Macaca fascicularis: one gene and its partner. The protein of the gene in region 2 interacts with the protein of the main gene of each other region in a pairwise test. Links are inferred from orthologs where the notes say so. Each region holds a gene or a part of one and is shown on either strand. Other genes may lie near its edges.

Region 1 (3,912 bases), on a different chromosome or scaffold from region 2:
ATACGGCTAGGAGAGGTAACTTGACCAAGGTCACAGTAAATAAGTGGAATTGCTGGAATTCAAATCCGTAGCCGTAGGCCAGGCATGGTGGCTCCCACCTGTAATCCCAGCATTTTGTGAGGCTGAGTCGGGTGGATCGCCGGAGGCCAGGAATTCAAGACCAGCCTGGCCAACATGGTAAAACCCTGTCTCTACTAAAAATACAAAAATTAGCCGGGCATGGTAGTGTGCACCTATAATCCCAGCTGCTCCGGAGGCTGAGGCAGGAGAATCGCTTGAATCCGGGAGGTGGAGGCTGCAGTGAGCCAAGATCATGCCACCGCACTCCAGCCTGCATGAGAGAGACTCTGTCTCAAAAAAAAAAAAAAAAAAAAATCCATAGCCGCCTGGCTCCAAACCTCACACCAGGTGTACATTAGAATCATCTGGCGAGTTTTTAACTCGACCTTCCCCACCCCAGATTCTGATTCATTTGGTTAGAGGGGTGGGCCCAGATTTCCTATTTTGTAAAAGTTTCCAGCCGGGCGCAGTGGCTCACGCCTGTAATCCCAGCACTTTGGGAGGCCGAGGTGGGCGGATCATGAGGTCAGATCGAGACCATCCTGGCTAACACGGTGAAACCCTATCTCTACTAAAAATACAAAAAAATTAGCCGGGCATGGTGGCGGCACCTGTAGTCCCAGCTACTGGGGAGACTAAGGCAGGAGAATGGCGTGGACATGGGAGGCAGAGCTTGCAGTGAGCCGAGATCACGTCACTGCACTCCAGCCTGGGCGACGGAGTGACTCCATCTCAAAAAAAAAAAAAAAAAAAGAAAAAAAAGAAAGAAGAAGAAAAAAAGCTCCCCAGGTAACTCCAAAGTGCTGAGGGGTACTGGTTAGAAATGCATAATCTCAGGTCTCTCCCCAGGCCTGTTCTGAGATAATCCACTCCTTCACTGAGTGGCTCACTGCCATTCTTCCACACTGACTGGAAACAGACTCTGCATTTCAACATGACCCCGTATGTGAATTAGATACACGTGAAGGTTTGAGACTCAGTGCTTGACACCAGTAGTTCTCATACATTATCAGAATCATCTGATACATACAGTGTGTATCAGAATCATCTGAGGGGCCTGTTATCTCAGCTTGCTGGGCCCCACTCCCAGTTTGACTCAGGAGGTCTGAGGTGAGGCCAGAGAGAGTCATTTCGAACATATTCCCAGGTGATGCTGATGCTGCTGGTCAGGGGCCCACACTCTGGGAACTATTGGTCTATACCATGCAGCTGTTAGGTAAGTAGAAATTTAGGTAATGAGGCTGGGCGCAGGGGCTGACGCCTGTAATCCCAGGATTTTGGGAGGCCAAGGGGAGTAGATCACCTGAGGTCAGGAGTTCAAGACCCACCTGGCCAACATGATGAAACCCAGTATCCACTAAAAATACAAAAATTACCTGGGCATGGGAGCACCTGTAATCTGTTACTTGGGAGGCTGAAGCAGGAGAATCGCTTGAACCCAGGAGGCAGAGGTTACAGTGAGCCAAGATTGTGCCACTGCACTCCAGCCTGGGTGACAGAGCGAGACTCTCAGAAAAAAAAAGAAAGAAAATAAATCTAGATAATGAATTGGGGGGGGGGGAAACCCAACCGGTAGTATATAAGGTACATAGGTTTTGAAGGTAGAGAAACCCAGGCTGGAATCCCCACTCCACCCCTAATTATGTAAACCTAGAAAAGTTAATGTCTCTGAACCTGTTTCCACATTTATTAAACTACAGGCGAAACAAAGCTACCAGAATCACACTCCACTGAAGGTACTCTCCTTTGATTTCAACGTACCCCGATATTGTATTAGTGCACTAGGTCTTACCTATCCCTTATTTTCAGACCCTGAGTTAACGGGGGTGCAACGCTCTCTCTTTACGACCTCACTCAGCATCCCGTCCAGGGCTGTGCAGTGTGGCACTGAGCGTGGCAAGCTAGACTAGGCCAGTGATGAGCGGGGCTGGGAGCTAAGTCCTTGGGCAGGGCCTAACGACCAGCCACCAGGCTGCAGCCTGACGAATCTGCGATCAAGCAAAGGTATGGGGTTGCTGCTGCGACTGCAAAGAGCAATCACTAGACCTCGAGTCAGGCCCGGGTTCTAGGACAGGCTCTGCCACCTTCTAGGAGGGAGACCACTTAGCAAACCACTTAGCTTCTCCAAGCTAGCTAAGCTACCGGTAAAACGGGATGAGCACCCCTTACTCAGAGCAGCGGGAGCGGGTCTGGGGAAATGAGCTATACTCGGTAAATGGGGAAGAAAACGCTTCCTGGGCTCCGGCACCTCCTTCCGGAGGTCCTGGCATACCCCACATTCCGCCCCGCGGCTCCCTGCACCGCCGACCCGGACCCACCACGCGACATTCCTTCCGCTTTCCCCGTCTGGGTCGCCGCCGAAGCTAGCGGGCGCCTGGACGGGCTGCCTCCCGCCGGCTGCAGCAGGACGGAGAAACCACGCCGGCGACCGGGCCGCTCTGTCCTCCCGGCGCAGAGTGCGTCTGTGCTCTGCGAGTCATCGCGGCACGGAGAAACTACGATTCCCAGAATGCTTCGCGGCGCGGGGCTCGCGCTCAGCAAATGCCGGCCTGCGTCATTGAAGTCTCCTTCACTAGTCGTTCATTCACTCCGCACGCGTTCTTGAACGGGCACCCTGGGCCAGGCTGCTTCCTAGGCTCCGGCATAGAGCAGTGACCAAGATCAAGTGGCTCCCCGAGCTGATGGCGCTGCAGGGGAGAGAGTCTTAGGAAAACAAACAAGAAAAATAGGGAAAAAGTTCTTTAGAAGATTGAAAGTGTGACGTGGTAGTGACTAGGTGGTCTTTTATTGGATTGTCAGGGGTGTCCTGAGAAGGTGACATTTGAGTTGGGATTAGTGACATGACGCCAAGCTTGTGAAAACTATGGGCGGAGCATTGCAATTAGAGGGAACAGTTTGTTAAATAAAATTTATAGGAGGCAGGGCTGGGCGCGGAGGCCCACACCTGTAATCCCAGCGCTTTGGAAGGAGAAAGCGGGAGGATCATTGGAGCCCAGGAGTTCGAGACTGGTCTGGGCAACATAGGGAGACCCTGTCTCTACAAAAAATAGAAAAAATTAGCCCACTGTGGTAGTGTACACCTCTGGTCCCACCTACTCGGGAGGCTGAGGCAGGAGAATTGCCTGAACCCAGGAAGTGGAGGCTGCAGTGAGCTCAGATTGTACCACTTCATTCTAGCCTGGGCAACAGAGCAAGACTCCGTCTCAAAGAAAAAAAAAAAAAAAAAAGGCAGCCATTGGTTTGGACAGGGCTCCTGCACCAAGCCCAACAGACAAAACCAAAATGGAGTCACTCATGCTAAAGTTCCACATCACCAAGTGGAAACTAAGTTGCTTATCTGATATTCAGATAAATCAGAAGAGTGAGAGATACTTAAATCTCCAAACCATCCAGTTTTAGCTGGCAGGATAAGGAAGTCCCCTCTGCTTTAGCCTTCAAAGTTACAAGGAAAGTAACTTTGAAACAACCAATCTGCTTTTTGTTTTCTGTTTCTGCTTTCCTCAGCCCTTTTCTGTCTGTAAAACTAATCTCCTCTGCTCAGCTTATTTGAACACTCATTCCGTTTTATAGAATGAGATGTTGCCCAATTCTAGAGTTGCAAATAAAACCCAAATTTAACAAATTTAGCAAATAAAAGCCAAATCACCAATTAAAAGTCAATTTTTTTCTTTTCACAATTCATGCAAAGAACCTGGGGGAAATGACCTTGACAATTTAGGAACACAGGAAAGGCCAGGGAAGCTGGGGAGAGTGGTATAACAAGAGACCAGAGAGGAAGCAGGAGCCAGAGCATATAGGACTTTGTGAGCCAAGGTAAGGAGTTTAGATTTCATGGTTAGGAGTGCAGCCTCC
Region 2 (3,912 bases):
AATAATCATGACTATACTTTGTTCCCTCAAAATCCAAACTGCCTGACCCGATTTCAGGGTATAGGGTCTTAGGAACTTTAGCTTTATCTCAAATATTATGTAATCATAGGAAAAACACTCACTTAATGCCTACCATATACTAGTCAGAATGCCAAGTAGAGGTGTAGGTTTATGGGAAGATTATGAATTCAGCACAGGTTGAGGTTAGGCTGCCAACTGGCCAGTAAGATGAATATTTAGTAGCCAGAATAGAACACTGGTTCAAAGCACTGGCTTAGCCGGGCATGGTGGCATGCGCCTGTAGTCCCAGCTACTCCGAGGCTGAGGTGGGAGGATTGCCTGAGCCTGGGAGGTGGAGGTTGCAGTGAGCCAAGATGGTGCCAACAAGCAAGCAAGCACTGACTTTGGAGTCAGGCAGTCTGGGTTCAACTCCTGGCTGTGACCTGACACTTATGAACTGAGATTAAAAATCATGCCATCTGTAATTCTCAGATTCTTCATTTGTAATTGAGAAAGCCACAACCTTCCTTCTGGATTCTTATGAGGATGAAACTAGTTAATGCATTTAAAACAGTGCCAGGAAAGCAGAAAATATTAATACTTAGAAACGGTTCCTTTTGGCTGGGCGTGGTGGCTCAGGCCTGAATTCCAGCACTTTGGGAGGCTGAGAAAGGCAGATCACCTGAGGTTAGGAGTTTGAGACCAGCCTGGCCAACATGGTGAACCCCGTCTCTACTAAAAATACAAAAATTAGCCAGGCGTGCTGGCACGTGCCTGTAGTCCCAGCTACTTGGGAGGCTGAGACAGGAGAATCGCTTGAACCAGGAGGCAGAGGTTGCAGTGAACTGAGATCACGCCACTGCACTCCAGCCTGGGCGATAGAGTGAGACTCCATCCAAAAAAAAAAAAGAAAAGAAAAGATTCCTACTAATATTATATTATTAAAGAACTGCTGGAAACACTGGTTTTAGAGGTCAGGGCTAGGATGACTTGGGGTCACCCACATGGAAGGGAGGGTTGCAGCCATTAAAGAGTTAGATGATTCAAGGAGAGCTTCTTTAGTAAGCACACAAGGCCAGTGGAGGAAGGTAACTGAATTCGTAACAGGCGCTAAAGATTCAAAAGGCCCGATGAGAGAAAAAAAAATAACCTAACTCAACTGGTCCCTATGTCCCTCAGTTCAACAGGTGTTTGTTAAAGGATCTGATAACCAACTGTTAGATTACAATGATACAGAAGTCACAATCTCCACCCTCAAGGAGCTCATTCTAATGTGGATAGGCATATGAATAATTATAATACTGTAAGAATATGCACATGACAGAGCTCTACTGCTACCTAAGCCTCTGTCTGGGATGCCCACTTTCTGTTCTTTTTCATCCTGTAGCTTTATACATTGGCTTTTAAAAGAGGCCTCCTCTGATCATCTAACTCATTCACTCAAATATTTGTTGAGTATTTCCAGCACTGTTCTAAACCCCAAGGACAAAAGAATGAACAAAACAAAATGCCTACTGTTATGGCACTTACATTCTAGTCAGGAGAGATACACATTAAACAAAGATGCATACATTTAATATGAAAAAATAACGTTCTATGAAGAAAAATGAGGCAGGGTAAGCAGAGTAGGGGGAGTGCTATTTGGGCAGAAGTCCTCTCTGAGGAGGTGAGATTTCAGTAGAAAGTTTAAGTTGTAGCATGATCTCCAAAGATATTTGAGGAAGAAAAAGACCAGGTGAAAAAGCTTCTAGGACCATCTGTTATTCTGCATACCAGTTCCTTGTTTCCTTCATAGCACATCACAGTTCCTATAAATCTTACATATTTATATTTATCTGTTCTCCTCGCGAATATAAGCTCCAAGTCATGGCAAGGATCACTTATATATCGATGTCAGTGTCCCTGGCTCTTAGAACAGTGTCTAACCATACAAAGCTGATGTTCACTCTCTCTGCTGAATGAGTAAATAATTGTTGTGCTCAGTAATAACAACTCCTAACTTTATTATCTGGCTTTCTATTGGAATCCTGACAGCTCCGTGAGGTAGGCACGCATAATAATTTACAGATTTAAAAAAACAAAGCGAAGAGTGTGATGAATAGTCATCAGGTGGCCTTCTAACGGAAAAGACCTCAGGGCCTGCAGCAAAATTCGGACAGGGGTGTTTACGGAAAGGATGGGGCGGATTAGGCCGTGTGACTTGGAAAGAAGAGGCGCGACTGGCCATTTTTCCTGCGTTTGGAAAAAGCAGTTTAGTACAAGAAGCGGCGCCGAGCCACCGCCTTAAAATTCACTCACCTGGTCTACGTCGTCCGCCATGTTTCAAACCCTGCGCCCTTTCCCGCCTCTCGCGAGAACACAAGAGCAACGCCGAGCTCCGGAAACGTGATGCTACAATACACCGGAAATAGAAACCTGCTGTGCTCTTGCCTGCTTCCCGCGGTTTTTTAGTGGCCACGGGTATGGGGCGGAGCTTCCTTTGGGGGCGTGACTAGGCCTCCAACGAAGGGGCGCGGCCAGACGCGCCCGCCTCGGGGCGGGGCCTGCGTTCTAACGCATCGCGGCCTGGTGCGTCACTCGCGAAGTGGATTTTTCCCCGACAAGCAATATGGCTCGGAAGCGCGCGGCCGGCGGGGAGCCGCGGGGACGCGAAACGCGCAGCCAGAAGTCCAAGGCCAAGAGCAAGACCCGGCGTGAGGAGGAGGAGGGTGAGAGCGTGGCCCAGCGGGCTTCGCGGGAGACTCTGCCGGTGGGCGGAGGAGGCCCAGAGGCAGGGGCGGCGGGAGTCCAGACGCGGAGGCCGGGTGGAGGTTGCTGCGCGCGTTCCGCGCAGTGGGGGCAGCACGGCAGGCCGCGGCCGGCCCTCCCCGCTGTCCCTGCGCCTTTGTCCTCTGCACCCAGAGCGGCTTCCCGTGAGCCTCGCCCGACCCAAGCTCCTGCGTAGCTTCTTTCCCGCTCCCCGTTGTCCAGAGGATACAGCGCAGATGTTCAGGGTTGAACGCGGAGAAGGCAGTTATTTGTGTCCCAGGAAAACGGACGGACGGACCAGGACGTAGAGTGATGCAGTGTGCTGACTCCCGAATGATAACTTCAGCTGAGTCTCGCCCAGAGTTCCACAGTGGGATCCCACCTGACTTCCCCTCGTGGATATTGGATAGGCTTCTTACATTTGTCGTGGACAGTGCAGAGCTCATGGTCTTCCCCTTCAAATCTATGGTTTCCTCCGTTTTTCCAGTCCCAATACTTGTTATAAAACAAAGTCCACCTTTTTCTTATGTGCACACATCCAGTCCCGTCAGCAAGTCCAGTCAGTTCAGCCTCAGACTGTATTTCAAATTTGTCCACTTCTCTTCATTTCCATGGCCACAACCCCTGTCCAAGTCACCATCACCTTTCAGTTGAGTGACTGCAGTTTCCTCTTGACTGGCCTCCCAGCTCTGCATCCAGCAACGCAAATAATCTTTAAAAAAAAAAAAAAAATCATGCCATGCTCCTGCTTTAAACTCTCCTTGGTTTTCCATTGCTCTTAGTTTAAAACCCAGTTGTCTTATCCTGGCCTGCAAGATGCTACGTGTTTTGGCTCTTGCTACCTCTCCTGTTTCTCCTACCACTTGTTTCCTTGCCAGATACCCTCCTCATTGGCCTCCTTTCTCTTCCTCAAATATGCCAAGTTATTTCTTGAGCCTTTTCCTTTGATATTCCTTCGGCCTAGAGTGACCCCCCACCATGGCTTTTGCCAGGGCTGATTTCTTCAAATCTCAAGTCAGACATTCCTTGAGCAAACTAAGGTAGTCCTTCCCAGATACCCCGTGGATACTAAAACCTGTGATGCTCAAGTACCTTGTATCAAATGGCCTAGTGTTTCCATGTAACCTATGCGCATACTCCGACATACTTTAAATCATCTCTAGA

Evidence for each region.
Region 1: the proteins of LSM3 (region 2) and LSM10 interact in binary tests that used the Homo sapiens proteins (3 or more experiments, as listed by UniProt). The link is inferred for Macaca fascicularis from reciprocal best matches to the Homo sapiens genes LSM3 and LSM10.

Annotation. Positions count from the first base shown.
Region 1 is NC_088375.1:198,523,334-198,527,245, reverse strand, and holds the start of LSM10 (U7 snRNA-associated Sm-like protein LSm10), read right to left. Parts: upstream 2,525-3,912; 5' UTR 2,333-2,524; intron 1-2,332. UniProt on the Homo sapiens protein: Appears to function in the U7 snRNP complex that is involved in histone 3'-end processing. Increases U7 snRNA levels but not histone 3'-end pre-mRNA processing activity, when overexpressed. Required for cell cycle progression from G1 to S phases.
Region 2 is NC_088376.1:152,442,744-152,446,655, reverse strand, and holds the start of LSM3 (U6 snRNA-associated Sm-like protein LSm3), read right to left. Parts: upstream 2,361-3,912; 5' UTR 2,320-2,360; coding exon 2,299-2,319; intron 1-2,298. Other genes in the region: XPC (DNA repair protein complementing XP-C cells), read left to right, coding at 2,609-2,708. UniProt on the Homo sapiens protein: Plays a role in pre-mRNA splicing as component of the U4/U6-U5 tri-snRNP complex that is involved in spliceosome assembly, and as component of the precatalytic spliceosome (spliceosome B complex).